3 linked regions of the Drosophila melanogaster genome follow. The gene in region 2 interacts genetically with the main gene of each other region. Each region holds a gene or a part of one and is shown on either strand. Other genes may lie near its edges.

The links.
Region 1: of hng1 (region 2) and mirr, changing one enhances a phenotype caused by changing the other (phenotypic enhancement), as found in Drosophila melanogaster (one study listed by BioGRID).
Region 3: of hng1 (region 2) and CG4404, changing one enhances a phenotype caused by changing the other (phenotypic enhancement), as found in Drosophila melanogaster (one study listed by BioGRID).

The regions. Positions count from the first base shown.
Region 1 is NT_037436.4:12,690,246-12,696,656, forward strand, and holds the start of mirr (mirror), read left to right. Parts: upstream 1-3,393; 5' UTR 3,394-4,066; coding exon 4,067-4,108; intron 4,109-6,254; coding exon 6,255-6,411.
Region 2 is NT_033778.4:21,165,256-21,171,609, reverse strand, and holds hng1 (hinge1), read right to left. Parts: upstream 2,681-6,354; 5' UTR 2,614-2,680; coding exon 1,666-2,613; 3' UTR 1,600-1,665; downstream 1-1,599. Other genes in the region: Xpd (xeroderma pigmentosum D), read right to left, coding at 32-489, 544-548; LSm1 (uncharacterized protein), read left to right, coding at 1,016-1,070, 1,125-1,309, 1,372-1,545; Isha (insulator su(Hw) mRNA adaptor), read left to right, coding at 3,149-3,178, 3,427-4,014, 4,166-4,438, 4,568-4,720, 4,776-4,880, 5,736-6,051.
Region 3 is NC_004354.4:12,903,231-12,909,641, reverse strand, and holds CG4404 (uncharacterized protein), read left to right. Parts: upstream 1-3,623; 5' UTR 3,624-3,860; coding exon 3,861-4,029; intron 4,030-4,607; coding exon 4,608-5,365; 3' UTR 5,366-5,897; downstream 5,898-6,411. Other genes in the region: BRMS1 transcriptional repressor, read left to right, coding at 205-394, 462-706, 954-1,298; mRpL49 (mitochondrial ribosomal protein L49), read right to left, coding at 1,851-2,333, 2,398-2,454; Flad1 (flavin adenine dinucleotide synthetase 1), read left to right, coding at 6,302-6,313.

The sequences.
Region 1 (6,411 bases), on a different chromosome or scaffold from region 2:
TGTCGACGTTTGTAGAGACGCGTACTAGCGTACCAGCGTACTCGCGTACGCACTCCGCACCGCAACACGCGCTTCCAGATACAAAGATACATAGATACGGGCAAAAATGGTGTGCTTGACTTGGCTTGGCTCGGCTCGGCTTGGCGCTCTCGACTCACAATCATCATTGGCCTGGTCTGGCCTGGTCTTTTGCTCCGCAGCTCTCGACGAGCTATCTGCAAACAAGAAGAGATACATTCGTTGCTCGTGAAGGGGAGGGGCGGGGTGGAGGGGTGGTAGCTACATATCCCCAAGATACGAAGCCCAACGAAGCGAGGCGAAGCCATCAATACAAGCCGTACGACTACAGATACAACTACATGGCTCGACACACAGATACTCGTACTCTGTGGCAACAAGCAAAGTACAAAGGATACAAATATATCTCGTGTTCGAAATATAAAAATCGTTAAACAAAGACTGGCGTTGTTTCTGGATTTGGATCGACTGCGACTAACGACCATGGTTGGTGTGGGCTTGGGGATGTTTCGTGAGGGTGTTGGTGGTTGGGGGGGGGGGTTCTTTTTTCGGGGAGTCGGCTTTGGCATCATCTTGCCCTCCCGCTTTTGCTTGCGGCCATTTGGGGCAACTTTTCCCTGGCACTCTGTCTCACTCTTTCTGGGCGCACTCTTTCTCTCTCTTTCCCGCTCTCTCGCTCGCTTAGCGCCAGTGAGCCCGCCTCGAAAAAGGTTGCTACTTGCGTACCCCCCTTTTTTCCACCATTTTCCCCGCCCATGGGAGAACTTGCTGCTGCGGTTGTCGTCTTGTTGTTGCAGTTGTTGCTGCTACTGCTGTTGGTGCTGTTGCTGCTGTTGTTGTTGTTGCTGTGCTTCTGCACAGAAGGCGACGGCAATTTTGTAGGCGCGCCAATGGGTTAACGTGATCTGAATTTGTTGCTCGCGAGCCAATTAATGTCGCTCCGAATTAAAAAGAAGATACTGATGCCAGATACAGATACGGATCGTAAAAGTCACTTCAAGTGGGTTAACCAGGAAACACCATTTTCTTTTTCTTAATAAGCTTGCCTTTTAAGTGATCAAAATTCGTATTGGCATTTAAGAATGAATGAAATCTTTTCATTTTATATAAAAATATCGAAAGTTTTAGTTTTGGAATATATTGGGGTAACACAATTTTTAAAAACAAAAATGTTAAGGGATAGACGCATTTTTGATTACAGTATATAGTTTTTTTAAATTAATTTTATTGTCAACTTTACTTTAAAATAAATTACCAAATTTTTGCAATATTTATTGATATAATATTACAAAAATAAAAAATATAATATTATTAATAATTTGGGAAATTTTAAGACATATTTTTCGGTTGAAAGTATTAAAGTCATTCAAGACAAATGTGAAATTTCAGAAAAATACACTCGTAACCCCATGTTAGTGACCTTATTACAGTGGTTGGTTAAACATTTATTCTGGCACTATCAATCCATTAATTTTCATGAAAACTTTTCCCCATGGAAAGGAAAACCGCCCAAATAAATGACTATCGAGAAACTAATCGTTAATGTCGGAGCAATGGAAAAGGATAAAGCTGCTGCTCGGCGATGGTGACTTCATTTAAATGTTGTAAGAATTTGTTTACTGCGTGTGCGACACACAGCTCAGGTGGGGGCGGTAGATGTGCGGTGGGTGTGGCAGATGCAGTGGCAGGGGCAGGAGCAGGGATAACCACCGATTGCCAGGAACGACAAAGTAGCTTTCAAATGTGCTCAGCACTCAGATACATATGTAGCACATAGACGCCATCCCGCTCTAGCAGCTGCCGTCACTCCTCTCGAGTGGCGTTTCAATTAATTAGAAAAAGTTAAAGAAACGCCACGGCAAAAACGAGAAGCGAAGTACGAAAATACAAAAAACAAAAAACAAAAAACAAATACCTACATAATAAAATGTAAGAGCGTATGTTGTAGCAGCAAAAGCAGCGACGGCAGCTGCGGTGGCGATTTTTGTTCTTCTCGTTTTTTCTTCTGATTTTTTTTTTTTCTTTTTTTGTTGGAGCAGCGCGAAAGATGCCACCAATCCAGCCAAAGAGCCAAAGCGGTCAAGAGGGGCGGTGCAGGGGGTTGGTTGCCAAAGGGATGGGGTAATGGGGGAGGAGGGGGTTTCTGGAGGGGAACGGCCGTAGCAGCGACTGCGGCAGAGGCGGATGATAAAACATTACCCATCGCGTTTGGCCCAACCTCTTCACGAGTCTCGTCGTTCATGTTCATCAGGCTTTTCTTTTTTCATCAACGGCGAAAAGCGAGAAGCGAGCGTAAACACTTTGCTTTCATACGTCGCGACATTCGTCTTGTTGTTGTTGTTGTTGTTGCGTTGTTTATGGCAACAACTACACGTAGCAACACCCACGGCAGCAGCAGCAGCAGCAACAGCAACTGCGGCAGCAGCAGCAAGTAGCAGCGTTGCAACAGCAACAGCAGCAGCAACAACAGCAGCAACATCATCGCCGACAACAACAGCAACAACATCGCCTACAAATACATACATCGGCATTTACAACAACACGCAATAACAGCCATTTTTCTAGTTGTTAAGTTAATTTTTTCATGTTCTGCCGCTCTCGGTGTTGCTGCTGCTGCTGCTGCTTCTTGTCGCCGCTGCTGCTGCTGCTGCTGCTATGCCATCTCGCTCGCACGCCAGCAAGACGACAGCCAACGCGAGCAAGTTGCGATACTACCGCTGTCGCTGCCGCTTGGTTGCGATTCGTGGCCAACGGCGCAGCGGCTATAGCCATCCCGCTCTCGCCCGGCCGCAGCTGGCAGATACTTTATTTATGGTCACACAGGCGGTAGATACTTTTTTTGTTGCCCCCACCCCTCCACCTAACCAACTGGTTTGCTGCGTCTCGCTCGCACTTGCAGCGAGATTGGTGGCTACGTTTCGGTAGGGGGTTGAGGGGTATCTACCGTAGCATACCGATTCCGATGCCGATTCCAATCCCAATCCCCTGAGTGCCACACACAGCCGGAGCGCCAGCCCACTTATAATGATAATCATTATTGCCGTTGTTGCCGTTCGTGTTGTCGTCGTGCCGCCTCGTTTGCTACTTTTTCCAGCGCACACAGATACTTTTCGCACGCACACCAGCGCACAGATACTTGGCCGCTCTCAAAAAGAGCAAAGAGAGCGCACGCACACCAGCGAAGGTGCGAGTAAAAATTAAGGGGAGAAACCCGTTTGTGCGCTCTCTCGCTCACACATACAAACGCGGCGCGGGCTATGTATCGATGTGGTGGTGCGTGGGCCTGTTCTTGTTGTTGCGCTGCGCTGTTTTTCGATTGTCGGTTGTCGTGTAATTCCCATTTGTCGTACACTTTGTAGTTGCTCAAGAAACTCATGTTAGTCTACTTTTGACTGTTACGCAGATTGTTCGTATCGTTCGTGTCCGCCGCAGTGCCAGTGCCGCAGTGTGAATAATAGTGCTCTCTGCCCGCCGCTCGCCGTCGTTCTGCGAGCTGGATTCAAATTCAGTACCCAGATTCAGAAACAGAATCAGATTCACACCCAGATACTACTATTTGCTGCCGCCGCCTCTGGTTCATTCGTGCTTCGTTTTCGCATCCTCCGGATAGAGCTGCTCCTCCCGAATACCGATTCTACCAATTCTACAAATTTAAACGACTCACATAAACGATTCCCGTCGAGCCGCCCGTCGGATTTTACGGATTTACGGTGCCCAGTAGCGCCTGTGTTGGCCAGCTAACTCGAGTTGGCCAGCTCCTTGCAGCCGTCGGCAAGTGCAACGCAGTGCAACGAAACGAATAACAAAAAAAAATAAACACAGCCCAAAGAAAGTAAACACTGAAATAGCTCGCAAGCCGGATCCAAAATCAACATAAAAACTAGTTCGGATCAATCACAAGATCACAGATCGCACAATCACAATCACTTCACTCGGATTATAAATCTATCTAAATACACATACGTCGGTTCAGTGCGCGAGTCCATCGGTGCATCGTAACTCTAAGATTTGCTTTATAGTTTTAGTTAAAAGCAAAAATTAATATTAAATGACAGTGCACAGTAATGAAACCGGTATCTGTTTAGTAATGGTGCGTATATCAATTTGTTTTTTTTCCCCCATTTTTTATTACTTGTAAGATGGTTCAGTTAATCGCTGCATTTTAGCTTGTCTGGCATTTGGATAGTGGCAATTAGATTGAAAACCCGTTCAGCTACGAGGCAAATCAGTGCAACACATGTAGATAAAAGCAGAAACAGTGGGATTACTCTGGGTTCGAATACCTTAGCATTTTGATTTGGCAAACGGAAGACATGGATTTAAAAATAAAACAGATTGAAAATGTCAGGACCACAAGTGTGCTACATTGGGCGAACAACACGCGAAAAACCGTCTGCCAATTCGGAAAATCTCTCTTATGCATCAATGTCTCTTTGGTTGTTAACCAAGCTGGCAAGGTCACCGCACATCGTGCTCAGTCACACTTGAGTGTCCAATAGGATTTTAGCCATAATAATCCCTCAGTGGTAACACGATCCCCAGTTAATATGGTATCCCTGTTCCAAAAATTTAATCGCTTGCACTCGACACTCGAGCATATTCATATATTTTCATATATGTATGTAAAAGCAACTTGTGGCGCAAAGTCGAAAGCTGAAACGGAATATCGGAAATATTAAATGCTCTTTAAACAAACATGAATGGCTGTCACTCTACCCTCGCCATCATAATGGCTACCCGAAAATAATTTACTTTAGCCGCAAAACGACCACTTCGAGTTGAGATATTTGTTGTGTTATAGTTATAGCCTGTAGCCATAGATAGTCGATAATCATCGGCGGTTGATTCAAAGAGCCGCATTGATAAGAAATCGTACGAGTGTATTGTGGATCCATCCAGCCATCCGGCAAACACCGGGAATTAATTTTTAATCGCATAGGGCCACTTGAGTTGTCACTTGATGAAAGCACGAGACGCAACACCGAACCGAATCCCAACTGCAACAGCAACATCAGCGACAACATTGTGGCGGTATCAATCACGACCGATGATACAACATGCAGCACTGTGACCGCCGGCCTGCGATAAAAATCGTATCTTACGCCTCGGATCATTTGTAAAATGTTAAACGGGAAGAGCGGCTCCAAGCCCCGAAGCCCCGAAGCCCCGGAGCCCCTGGAGCCCCAAAGCCCACAGCCCCAAGCCTCAAGAAGTGGAGAAGTTAACCAAGGAGGCAGCGATAAACAAACCTGAAACTTGTTTTCCTTACCCCATGTCGCATGTGTGCGAATGTGTACGTTGCTCTTGTCCACTGAAGTTGTTGCAGTTGTTGCTCTTGCAGTTGTTTCAGTTGACTAAAAGTGTTGACAAAAGTGCGCGATAGGCTTATGTGCACACACAAACACACTATATACCATGCTATACCATACCATACCATACCATATAGAGGATCGATCCAGGCAGTCATTGGACAACTTACAATCAAATTGCTCTTAGGACGTTGTTGCAGCTTGTCGTTGTTGTTGCTGTTGCCGCTGTCGTCGTTGGCAGCAATCGGCTGTGTAATTTAAATCAATGTTGTCAATCGAAAACATGATTTGTTGGTAATGGCGGCCCCACTTTGAAGATCGCCGGATCGCAGGGGAAAGGGGTTTTCGGGAGTGGAGAGAGGAGAGAGCACAGTTTGTAGGGGGGGAAGAATCCATCGGTTGGGATCCCAGTTTTGTGGTTCTGAGGCTCTGCAGTTCTGAAGGGCCCGTGGACAGCCCACAACCCATCCCACTGAAGAGACGCTCTTATCGCACTGATAAGGGGCTACGTTTTTAATTAAGTTTTAGTGCCAGCTGGTAGCGCGGTACAGTAGACCGTCTATTGGGGCTTTTTATCCAGCGCAAGAAGCAGCGCCTTAATGGCCGCCATAAACTCGAGAAACGAATTGGAAAAGATCAAAGTCGGATAATCAATTTACTGAAATTAACTTCAAAGATGAAGAACATTTTTCTAAAAAAGTTTCGTTTTAGAAAGAGGCCTTAAAACATTTTATTATAAGCTATCAAGGGATTAGTAGTGCAGTACTTAAATTTATAAATTTTATTTATTATTTTATTTCAAATTTGTTTACTTATTGTACAACATATTGTTCATAATCAACTTGGACAGCTATTTTTAGTACCAAACGCTTGTTAGCTCCGTTAAGCAAATGCACTCAACGTTGTTGTCTTCCACTTAACTTGCAGAATGCCGTTTCAACTCACCTTGCCACCTCGTCGCCCAACACGCCTCCAACCAACGCTCCGCAGAGTCCGCCCTCGACGCTGCCCACGCTCGCCTGTCCCGCCGCCCAGCCGCTGAGTGCACCGGGAATCGCCGGGCCAGGACACAGTGGCATGGTGA
Region 2 (6,354 bases):
AATGGTTACATATGGATAACAATAGTCTTACAAATGGGCGTCTCGGTGTCCATCTCGTGCCGTTCGCGAATGTAGCTGGCAGTGAGTCCGTAACATTTACCGTCCACGGCCTTGCCCTCGCGCTCCTTACTGACCTCCGGATGGATGCACATGTTCTTCCTAGAGCTGAGCACCAGACCGGTGAAGGGTGGTGGATTGGGGCAGTGGCGCTCGTAGTAAACCATCAGGTTCTGCAGCTCGGCGATCACTTTCTCGATCTCCGGAACAGTACGCGAGCAGTAGATGAGCTTGCGCACCGTTTCCGGATGCTCCACCATGTAGGCAACGATCAGGGAGAGCAGCGTGGCCGTCTTGCCCGTTCCCGAGGGCATCTCCAACAGGCAGTGGCCCTTGGCGTCCAGGCTACGCTTAAGTTCCAGCATGTAGGCATATTGTTCCGGGTAGATGTACTCGTACGGAAAGTACACCAACAGGCCGTCCACGCTGAGCCTGTGGACTGGGTTGTTAAAGGAGTACTTTCATTTATCCCGTTCTGCCACTTACTTCATTATTCGCCTATTCCGGGATAATTCACAATTCCCTGTGCCGGCAAACTATCGATGGTACTATCGAGGTATAGAATTTGTACCATCGTTATCGATGGGGCTGTGAAAAATTTGCATGGATTGAGTACAAGTTTTGATATTTTTTTGGTCAACTTCTTTTTATTTTGTAACTCTGTGAACAGCGTAAAAATATTTGATGTTAGAGCAGAAATCTTATTTTTAACTGTTTGAAAATTAATAATAACTATTTAATATCTATGCATTTTAAAACTAAAAACATCAATTTCAGTAAGCAATATCTTATAAGTTTCGTTGAACAGTGTAGTAATATTTTTAGTATTTTTTTCTAGAGCATTGTGGTTTTTTAAACCCTTCAGCGAGGGTTACATTAATATTAAATACTAAAATTTAGACCAAAGTTTAGTTGCTTCAGTTTATTTATTTATCTAAATCCCACATATTTTCATAGCATGGACGACTTAAATCCGCTGGCGGGCACGGCTCACCTCCTGGAAGAGGTTGACAGTGAGTAAATCCGAATGAAAGGAAGGCCAGTCGTTGAAAACCGGCGCATTGCAGAGAAACTGATGGTACTTTTGAGAGACGGACGGACTCTGATTGGATACCTGCGGTCCGTGGACCAGTTCGCCAACCTGGTGCTGCAACGCACCATCGAGCGGATACATGTGGGCAACGAATACGGCGACATTCCTCGCGGAGTCTTCATCATTCGCGGGGAGAATGTGGTGCTACTGGGCGAAATAGTAAGCTTTACTCGATACTTTTTCAATATGACTGATTAACACCCTTTAAATATGCGTAAAAGGACCGTGAAAAGGAGCAGAAACTGCCACTCAAAGAGATATCCGTCGATGAAATCCTGGACGCCCAGCGTAGGGAACAGGAGCAGCGGCAGGAGAAACACCGCCTAGTATCCAAGGCACTAAAGGAACGAGGCCTGGCCGTAGATGCCAACATAATCAACGAGGACTTCTGCTAAGACTCCATTTTTTCCTAAGCACAAAGTTAGATTAAGCTCAAAAGATTTTCGTCTCTTTGTATATTTGTACTGCATTAAAAAACTATGTTAAAACCTATGTACATATTGCATGCAACCTGCTTAGCCTGATCCGCCCGCACCCGACCCCTTTCCGCACTCCTCGAGCAGTATGTACTTCTCTAGAATCTGGTACATCTCCACCTTGGCCTTGATCTTGTGCACGCGCGACAGTTGGCGCAAATACGCGGCAATCGACTTGCAAAAGAAGTCGTCCTCTGTTTCGCAAGTCTTTTGGGTGATGACGGCCGTGGGATTGGGTAATTCTGGGGCGGAATGCTCTCGCTCCTGATTCGCATTGGGCGGCATACAGACCAAGTAGTTCAGATCCGCGTGGTTAGACTCAATAGGCTCAGGTGCGGACGTCGCATTCGGAGCAGCGATTTCCGGATGAATTGTGACCACCTTGACCTTTTGCTCGCACTCCGCATCCCCCAGGAACTCATCGAAGCTCTCCTGTTCGGGCTCCTGCCCATCGTCCGCCTCCACGACCACCGAATACGTCTCCGATTGTGTGGTATGAGACTCCAGCTTAGCGTCGTAGTCGTGTTGCTCCTCGCCCTCATCGTAGGCGTGCGAACCTTGCTCCTCGATCAAGGTCTCTGTGTCAATAGGCAGGCGGGTACGACGCCGTCGCTGTAAATCAACCTTCATCCACCCGGTTGGCTTTTGTTCCCGATCCCGTTCGCGTCCTCTGCGCTCGCGTCTCTTGCGCACAAAGTCCCGCAGGAAGTCCATCTTCCGAAAGAAGTCATTGTGACCAAACTCGCCGGACGGATGCAGGCGCTTCTGCTTAAGCTCCCGCGAATAGCGATCCCGCAGACACGTCCACCGTCGCCGAGCGTCTGAGATGGAGATGTTTAGCAAATCCGCCACTTTTGCCCAGTCCTCCTCTTTGCGCTGCGACAGCCGAAAGGAGGGCAGCTGGGGATCGTACAGCGACGGCGTCTCGCGGATGGTTTGTATTAGGAGGATATCCGAATCGTCCAGAGGACGGTGGTTTGAGCTCATTTTAATTTGTTTAATATATGTTTAATATTGACCAGTGTTGCCAGATGTATTGTCATCGACACAATGCTAAAAAGATCGACACCGCCGATAGCGATTATTTTTAAAAGGTAGTACATTTAAGAAGATTTGATTTCATTTAAATTTATTTAAGGTCATTTTTATTTTGTTGTCATTATTTTTTTATATGAAACTTTTGGATTCCATAATGAAAATTCTATTTCGTTTTATTTTTTATAAATATTTGGAAAATTTTTTAATACCGAAACGTTATGCACCACATACGGTCACACTGCCATTAACAGCACAATTTCCAGAAATGCCTTGAAAATGTCAACTTTACAGGTCTGGCAACGCTTCAGGCTTTAGGGCAGCCATTTTTTTCACGCTTTGTAAAAAGTTTTTTTAAAAGCCGTGGAAACCGCAGAAAGGTCGAGAAAATTGTTTTTCGCCAGTTTTAAACGATTGTGTTGACCAACCAAAGTATGCAAAACTAAATATTGTGTGTGCGTGCCGTGAGTGAACCAAGCAATTGAACATGGAAACCGTGGTTGCCTTCAACAATGAGGTAAGCTATAGATGCATTAGAAACGAGGTTCGTTATGGAGCAGCCGGCGTGGTTGCACAATGTCCGCTTGAAGTCGGTATTCGGATTGTCCAATGTGCGGGAGGTATACAGATCCTGCTGGAGGCGCAGGCAGAGCACCGAACAGCACCGCTCAGGGTTGCTTTTTGGCCAGCACCCGATAACGATAACTCCATGTCCCAGATATCCGTAAACTATAGCCGTACTGTAACATCTATATTTCTCCTTAGCTCTCCGGACTCTATGACAGCCGACCGCCCATTTCCAAAGCGAAGATGGCCGCCATCACCAAGTCGGCGATGCGGGCCATCAAGCTGTATAAGCACGTCGTCCAGAGTGTGGAGAAGTTCATCTTGAAGTGCAAGCCGGAGTACAAAGTACCCGGGCTGTATGTAATCGACTCGATAGTGCGCCAGTCGCGCCACCAGTACGGTATGGACAAGGATCTGTTCGCGCCCCGATTCCAGCGTAATCTCACGGAGACCTTTGCCAACTTGTTCCGGTGCGCTCCGGAGGACAAGAGTCGCATCATCCGGGTACTGAACCTGTGGCAGAAAAACAACGTCTTCAAGTCCGAGGTCATTCAGCCGATCTTCGACCTGGCCGACCCAAACCACCCAATCTACCACCAGATGCCTCCGGTGGGTGGCAGTGGAGGACAGGGCGGCGGCGTGGGTCCAGGACCCAGCAGCAGCGGTGCTCTTAGCCTGGCGGACATATCGAGCGGTCCGAACGGTCTAAACAGCTCCGGAATGGAGATAAGCATGAACAGCTCCGGGGGCGACGATAAGATGGGCGGTGCCATGCCCGACTTGTCGGTAAGTGATGCTTTCGGTTGAGGCTTCTACAGGTGTCTAGTATTGGATAATGGCTTAACTAACATCGTCTACAATTCTGCTGCATTTACATTTCTCTGTCTCTCATGTCTTGCCCACTAACCGCCCATTTTGCCCTTCGCCCAATCGCTAGCTGGGCCATGAGAAGTTCGGCGGTGGCAGCAGCAGCTCCAAGCGTCACTACTCGGAGCAACACTATTCCAAACGACAGTCGGTGGTCTCGTGCTCGTCGAAGACCAGCAAGTCGCATCATCACAAACGGGAATATGTCAAGAGCTCGCACGACATTGACTACCAGGTGCGGGAGATCATCGAGGAAGAAGATGAAGGCCTGCAGATGCTGATGGCAGATGATCACCACTGTATGGGCGACGACTCACCGCCCACTTCTTCAAACCTGTTAGACGTATGGCGAACCCCATTAACACATCTCTTCATTTAGATAGTTTTGTTTATCTTAAGTTTCTATTTGTTGCTTTTGTTGCTCACATTAGATCGATCCCATTTTGAATAACCTTTTAAATAACTCTTTCAGGAGAAGAAGATCAAGCAGCTGCTAAACAATCCGAATGTGCTGCGGCAGCTCCATACGCTGCAGAACTTCCAAAATTTGAAGCCGCAGGAGGAGAACCAGAAGCATCGCTATCAGGACGAGGCACTGCAGCAGCATTTCCAGAACGTAATGAAGGTACATCTTATGATTTCATGACGATGTACATATTTTCATTATGATTTGCTTTCAGGGAAATGCTGGTATGCCGCCGGGCATGGGCATGGGCATGAACATGAACGACAGCATGGACCTTAACAAGGATGTCGAGTTCATATCGGAGCAACAGACCATAGAGGTATACCCTTCTACTTTTCCAATCTATCTTAGTTCCTGGGGTCCGACTTGTGTATGCTTTTCACCAAGACTTCGCCATTAATTTTGGTCTAAAGTATAAACATATTAGATGTAAAACGGGTGATACTATTTGCCTTGTGCTGACGTGCAGTTAATCCTGGAAATGTGTTCAATATGTTGTTATAGCTGATGGGATATTAGCGTGTTCGAATCCAAATTGATTCAACTAGTTGTAACGGGGTGGTCTTGCACTATTTAATCAATAACTTTAATACTATATATCTTGAATATGCAAACAATTCAATTCCCAATCCATTTAAAATTAAATTTTATTTTGTTGTAAAAAAAATGTTTAAAATCAAAAGATGATGCTTTTGGGCAAACCCTAAATCAGTTTCATAAGTCGATCTATATGTCCCCAACATATATTTGAACTATAAAACAATTGCCAATATTTGAATAAGTCGAACCAATAGTAAAATATTTAAAAAATATGCAAATGAAGCCAAAGGTAAGGTTTTAAAATCCACATAATATCCGGCGGAACAACTCGTTACCCGATGCTAGAACAACGTTTGGTAAGTTCCTAATATGTAAATAAAAATGTTGCTCGAAAACGCAAATTGCCAATTAGTCCGAAATAACTAGATGAATGAAAGTCGAAAGCGAAACAGAACCACACGTCAACACACGCCAAAGAATGCAGTTTATTGAGTCGATAATAACGTATTCGCCCTGTGGCCAGCCACTAATCCCGAATCCTCTCTATCCCACTGAACTTTTTTTTTTTATTCTTAACAAAATTTTTATCACGTATCACTCTCAAATTTCTTGCAAACACTCCCATCTCCGATAGGTGATCAATCTGGATGGTGGCGATTCCCGCAGCCCGACGCCCGACCGTGATCGCTACAAGCGCAGTCGCCGGAACAGTCGCAGCCGGACGAGATCTCCGCGAGGACGTGGCGCCGGAGGAGGCACGGGCAACGATCGACGTCGGCGTGGCACTCGTTCCCGATCGCGCAGCCGATCACCACGGTCCAGCCGGCGACGCGGATCAAGGGACCGGGATCGCATGGATCGTAGCAATCGAGACAAGGAACGCGATCGGGAACACGAGCGTGAGCGGCGCAAGAAGGGATTGCCCGACATCAAAAAGGAGCATCTCAGTGGTAACTATGACGGGAATGATAAATGGATCTTAAAGGCCACAAGATGGTGCTTCTTAAGATCCATTTGCATTGTGTGCTTTCCTGTTTTTCCTTCTTTTTTTTTTTTGTTTTTGTTTTTGATAATCCTAAAGATTTACTTCCTTTTCTCTGCAGCTCCTTTGGCTCGGTTGACGTGTGTGTGTTTAGCTTTAGTGGTTCTTGATCTTAGAATATCCCCCTATATAATATGCGTTTTCGAGCAATATTTTTTGAGACCCGATTTACATACATATACATAAGGATGCAAACAAACGTTGTGTTCTA
Region 3 (6,411 bases), on a different chromosome or scaffold from region 2:
CCCAACACTCTTACGTGCGGTCATACTTTTTTTGATACAGCACACAGTTTAGTGTTTTTCCACAGAGTTTTCCACAGTTTCCACACTCCCCGATTGTCGAAAGCAAACAAAAAAAGATATCGCGCTTATACCGGCGGCCACCTGCAGTCCATTGCCGAATCGGAATACGCCGAGAACAAGGAGAACCGCAAAATCCACTCTGAAATGCCCGTGAAGAATGGCGAATCCGATGGCGAAGGCGACGTTTCTGGCGGAGAATCGGAGCACTCGAATTCCAGCCAGCCACACGACACCTCCGACGAGGAGGAGGCCAACGAATGCGATTCGGATGACTCCTCCGAGTTGGATGCCAGTGAAATAGACCGCCGGCGGGCAGAGCACATCGAGGATTTGCGTAGGAATCAGTACGTACACACTTAACACAAGCCATACTCATCGAGTTTCTTCTTTCCTTGACACAGTGAGCTTGGAGCGCCAATTTAACGAGTTGCGGGAACAGTACTACGTCGAGCGCATCAATCTCATCGAACGACAATTGGCCGAGGTGCGTTCCGGGCGTTCCGAGGAGTTTGTCCAGCCGCAAAAGGAACTGGACAAGAAGTATCGCACCAGGATCGAGGTGGCGGACGTCCTGCGCAAGTACCGACTGCAGAATATCGAGCACAAATACCAGTCCGAGGAACAAGCTGCCGTCCAGCACTTTGAGGTACATAACCAATCTCGATTTTTGGCGCCAAAAATGAGAAGAGCTAATTGGCCACCATATCGTCGCAATTAGATTGGCTTTCGTGTTGATAAGGCACTGGGGGCGACACTGCCAAAGCTAATTACAACACAAAATGTCACTCACTTATAGGCCATATATTAACGATTTAAGACAAATGATGGCTTAACTTAAGCGTAGAAGTAGTTGTTAATGTATCCTCTTGCAACTCACAACTTTTCCGTTGCAGAGCGAGAAACACATGGCATTGGACAATCTGCGCGAGGAGTTCATGGAGCGCATCCGTCGCCTGGAGGAGGATCGCCACAACGTGGACATCTCGTGGGCCGACTGGGGCACCGACAAGCGGCAGAGCAAGGTGCGCGGACCGGGTCGCAAGAAGGCCGTCACCGTCACGGGTCCCTATGTCGTGTACATGCTGCGCGAGGAGGATATCATGGAGGACTGGACGATTATACGCAAGGCCCTCAAGCGATCCTCCTCGTCGGCCACCGCTGCTGGCACAGTTACGCCCACTTCCGGCGTAAGCGTTAGCCTGTCCGGTTTGCCAGCAATGGCAGGAGCTAGCGGATAGCGTTGGGGCGTGGCAGCTGCCGCCTACGCCCACATGACGCGTACCTGACGGCCGCGCCCGAGGAAGCAGCAGCCGTAGACGTTTATGTATCAGTAGTAGCCGTAGCAGAGCCCCCGAACCAGACTTCAAATGCGTTCATCAAAATGGCTAAGCTCCGCCACCCATCCTCACCTCCTTTTCCCGTAGATTTTAGTACGTACGTAGTTTGTACGAGTCCCACTCTCAGAATATTGTGTGTGTGTGTGTGTGTGTGTGTCTCTCCCCTCCCCCATACAGACGATGTATGTAATTTATGCTAAAAGATAAGTGCAAATAAAAGCGAACTGCAGCCAAGTGGGCATGCGTTCAACATAAATTTAATTCGATTGCCTGCGAGTGATTCAATCTCCGGAAGGCCAGCAGTTTTGTTATCCAGACTTGGATACTATGGGTAGGAGGTCACAATGTGGGTAAGCCGCCTTAGGTGAGGCGAGACAGAAGAACACAAATCCCACATGATTTAAATCAACAGAAAAGCTTTTATTGCGGCACAGACGGTTCATTTGTGGACCTTCAGAAGCCCTTCTCCTTGAGATAGTCACGCAGGACGTCCACGTGGTCACCATGGAAGTGTATCTGACCGCTCAGCTCATTGATTCTCGTGGCGCAGACCTTGCCGTTTCGCGACTGCTCCACCACCGCACGCAGATCCTTTTCCAGCGTCCAAATGTCTCCTTGGACGCGTCGCACCACCGTGATCCGGCGCTGGCCACGGAACCTGGTGTGCAGATACACGGGCACCATGTGATTCTTCGTCCTGGCCACATGGTAACCCAGTTCTGAGCCATCCTCCTTTTGTGGCTGCCAGCCGGATGGATATTTTGGCTTCTCCACCGGCTGTGGTACTGTCTTCGCTGGTAGCAAGCGCTCCACAAAACGCCACTCGGGCGGATTGGCCACCACCTCCACTTCAGGATACTTGTCCAGCTCCTGAACTTCGCGGGATGAACGAAAACTGGACATAAGTGCCGGTTGCATGTGTATTTGCCTGGTAAGCTGCGTGAAATAAAAACAGATTTTAGGTGATTTTTTACTGGAATCCTTTGGTTTATCTGCTCACCTGGCTTAGCTTTTGGCAGAGGCCGCTGCCTAGCATCAGTTTGGCGCTTGTTGCCATGTTTTTTGGCTAAAAACTAACAGATTTCCCAAGAAATACAAAAAATAGTTGTTACATATGCACTGGCTGGTTAGTGATGCGCAAATGGTAGCGATAATTGTTTCGATTACTTAACTTGGCTAGAAGCTATCGACTTCGTTTTGTACAAAGCACCGATTTTCAAGCTAAAAAATATTTAAAAATGTAAATAGTCAAAAAATTAGGTGCAATGACAACAGTCAAATATTTAATTAGTTAATTAATTAACATCAGGTTAAATTTGATTTTATTTCGAAACATGGCTTAAATGGCCTATTGCTTAGCGAATTTATCTACTTTTTTCTAAAACTGAGGAAAATTAATCATTTCCGCCCAGTTTTTAGTAAATTTAATTAAATAAACACTATATTATATGATCATGCATTAAACGATCTTGGAATTTAGCTGCACGTACACCATTCAGCTTAATTTCTACAAGCTCAAACATTTTAGCCTAATTTGCGTTTTGTCTTTGATTGCTTTTGTCTTCATCACTTTAGCATCGCATGCAACAAATGCAGCGTGTGACGTCATCGCCAAAGCTTTAATCACACACGCACACACACAGAAGCGCCTGCACACACACAAGCGTTGCAAGTGCGGCATTTGAATTGCTTAGCTTATACAATTTTATTGCAGCTGTTGTTCGCCGTTGAGTTTTTCGATATGCGGTAATCGCGGAGTCATCGGGGTATATCGAAATAGTCGCAAAGTTGTCGATATAATTTTAGTAACCGTTGAAATGTGCAAAAAATACAATTAAAGAGAAATAAACACTTCGATTACGATCACCTTGAGTTTATAGGATTAGTAAATAGTATGAAAAATTGTGTGATCTTTTGATTATCTTTGGGAAATTTCATTATTCGGCGAATAAATATCAATATAAATATATTATTTCTGGTTAGTGTATATAGATGCTGCTCTGTACACCTTTACATTCGATTTATTCAGATGTGCTCCATTGCAATATCCTGCTAATTATGTTTCAGTGTAGATCTTGCTGCCTTTCAGCGGTGTAGGGTATTCGCTGTTCGTGAGACTCAGCGATTGCCACTTGTTGTTGCTGCTGTTTTGTGCCAGCATAAAGTGTTTGCGCTGCAGCTTTTGTTGCTATTTGCTATTTGCAGTTTGCAATTTGCAATTTGCGCGCAGTTTTGGTTGCGCGTTTGCTGCGAGCAGTTGCACTTGCACTTGCAATTCTATTGCCGCGCCCCCTCCCCTTTTTTTCTGTGTCGCCCCCTTTGTTTTGTTTTGCCTCTTTTCGTTCGCGCCCCCCGCCATCTGCACCGTCTGCAGAGCAGCGCTCCTGGAATAACTGCATGTGCGATTCACCGTTCTAGTTGGCGGCGTGCGTGCGTGTGCGAGCGAGCGAGACAGACAGAGGCATGTGCTGGGTCGCAATGGCGCGCAAGGACGATCCCGTTTTCAATGTGCGGTTCGTGCAGTTCGTGGAGAATCAGCCGTGCCTGTGGAACTACACGCATCCGGGCTACAGCAAGAAGGAGGATGTGCAGAGGGCGTGGCAGCAGGTTGCCAACGATATCAAGGACACGGGTAAAAAGGCGGTAAAAAATAAATCGGCAAAAGGCAACGGCGATTTTCCGCCTCAAGCTGCTGCTTCTTCCTCTTCTTCTTCTTCGCCGCCAATTGCGTGCTCATTTCACTGTCCGTGTGCGCGCGCGCCTGTGTGTGTGTGTGTGTGTCTGTGCGTGTGTGTGTCTATGATGCAAGCTTTCGCGAATTGGTGTGCGAAACGAATGCACTTGTTGTTGTTTTCCATTTGCCTGGCTTTGCATTGGTGTAGGTGTGTCACTGTGTCGCGCAGTTTTTGCCTGCAATTTGTTGCTGCTTTTGCGTTTCGCTTTTCGTTTACTGTTGCTGCACTCAGCCAAGGTGCACTGGAAAAAAACCAAGTACTATTCGTACAACTAAATTCCCATAATAAATTCAAAATAAATACAAAATAAAAGTATTTAAACTACAAAATATTCCATGTTACAAACAAGTATAAATCCAAGAATTGAGTTTGATGTGCAAATCAACTCAGTACTGTGGTTACCTTTTGGTGAACAAGTTTCAATTTGTACCGTAGAAATTTGTACTGTAAAAGATGTGTTTTGTTTCTCCTGCAGTTCGCAACTGTCGCGAGCGATGGCGCACCATAAGGAGCAGCTTCCTGCGATCCCTGAAGCTGGCACGCACACAAACGGGACGCGGCAAGCGCAAATACTACCTATCGAAGTATCTTCAGTTTCTCGTTCCGTTCACCAAGTCGCGATCCTGCCACAAGCAGCTGCCGGGCATGGTGCTCCGCAAACCCGGCCAAGCTGCCACTGCTCAGCAGGAAGATGAGGTGGTGGCGGCGGAGGAGGAGGCCAAGGTGAGCGATGGTGAGATGCCGCTGGACGTTCAGGTGTCCGAGGAGGAGCATCGTCGTAATCAGGAACAGGATCGGGAGCAACCCACCGCCTGTTTGCCGCTCCGCCTGCATTCCATCAAAGTGGAGCACGATTCGTCAAATGCGAACCAGCAGCTGGAGCGGATGGTGAGCCAGCAGTCGCTGGTCTCGGTGCCCGCCGCCGCGCTGGGCAATCACCTGGGCTGGTCGGATCTGACGCAGTGGTTCAAGGGACATGGCAGCGGTCATCACAAGTTAACCACAACAACAACAACACCAACATCACCACCACCGCCGCCGCAGCCGGCTACGTCAGCTCTAAGTGTTTTCACTGGCGGACCAGGAGGAGGTGGCTCACAACCGGATGCCGACTACTCCTTTCTGATCAGCCTGCATCCGTACATCAAGGAGATGAACGGCAAGCAGAATCGAAAGTTTCGACAGAAGGTCGTCGGACTCATCGACGATATTCTGGATAACAAGGATGTCTAATTTGTACACGGAAAAAAAACCGAAGATGCTTACGTTTCAGCGATGAAAATTACGATTTGTAAACGGCTCTATCAAAATTACCACACACAAGAGATGCATATTTTGAATGATTGTGCGGAAATATTCTACATACCAAATGCAACATTATTTCAAAACCAACATTTTCACCACTTTCAGATTTCATTCTGGCCATCATATTGCTAACTTTTAGACAATGAACTTAGTTTTTAAATATTTATGTCTAAGTTAAGTGTGAACGTACATGAAATTTATATCGAAGTTTATATGCACTGCATCGAAATTTGTAAAGCGCCCAGTGGAACAGGATGAAATCACCAGTTATGTGATATTTTCTCTCCGTGAAGAAAAAAAGCCACAAGAATCGAAGAAAACACACCCAGTTGATAGAAAACGCCAACAGTGCCCATTTATTAGATGTGTAGAGCGTACTTTAATTACGCTTTTTATTGTTGTTGTTAAGCACACACACAAACACGAATTTGTTATTGTCGAATAAAACATTTAAACTACGAACATTTTATTTTACTTCAGACGGAACAGAAACAAAATTTGCGTATATATGTCGCATTTGCTGGCGATATGCGAAATTGCGGATTAAAATCAAAACGAAACTTTCAAAATTATTTAATGTATAAATTTCTAGCTTTTTTTTTGAATTTCTAGCTAGCCAACCGCCTTAATCGAGTGCAATCGATAGATTCAGCGCACAGCTGATGCACCGATAGTACGCAAAGCTTCCTGGCTTTGTTGTTGTTGTTGTCGCCGTTCGCTTGTTGTTGCACTAAAAAGACGAAAAAAGGAAGGAAAATCACTGGCGCGGAATAACAATTAACAAAATGGAATAATTGCATTGCTGTCGCCGTAACTCATCAGTTAAATGTGCGCCAGTAAACAGTCGATGCAGCAACGAAACACATGAGCTATTGGGTGAGCTATGCGCGTGTGTGCGTGCGCCATGTGTTTGGCCTGCATGCGTGTGTGTGCGTGTGCGTGTGAGGGCCTGAGGTTTTGGCTTTATATCACTT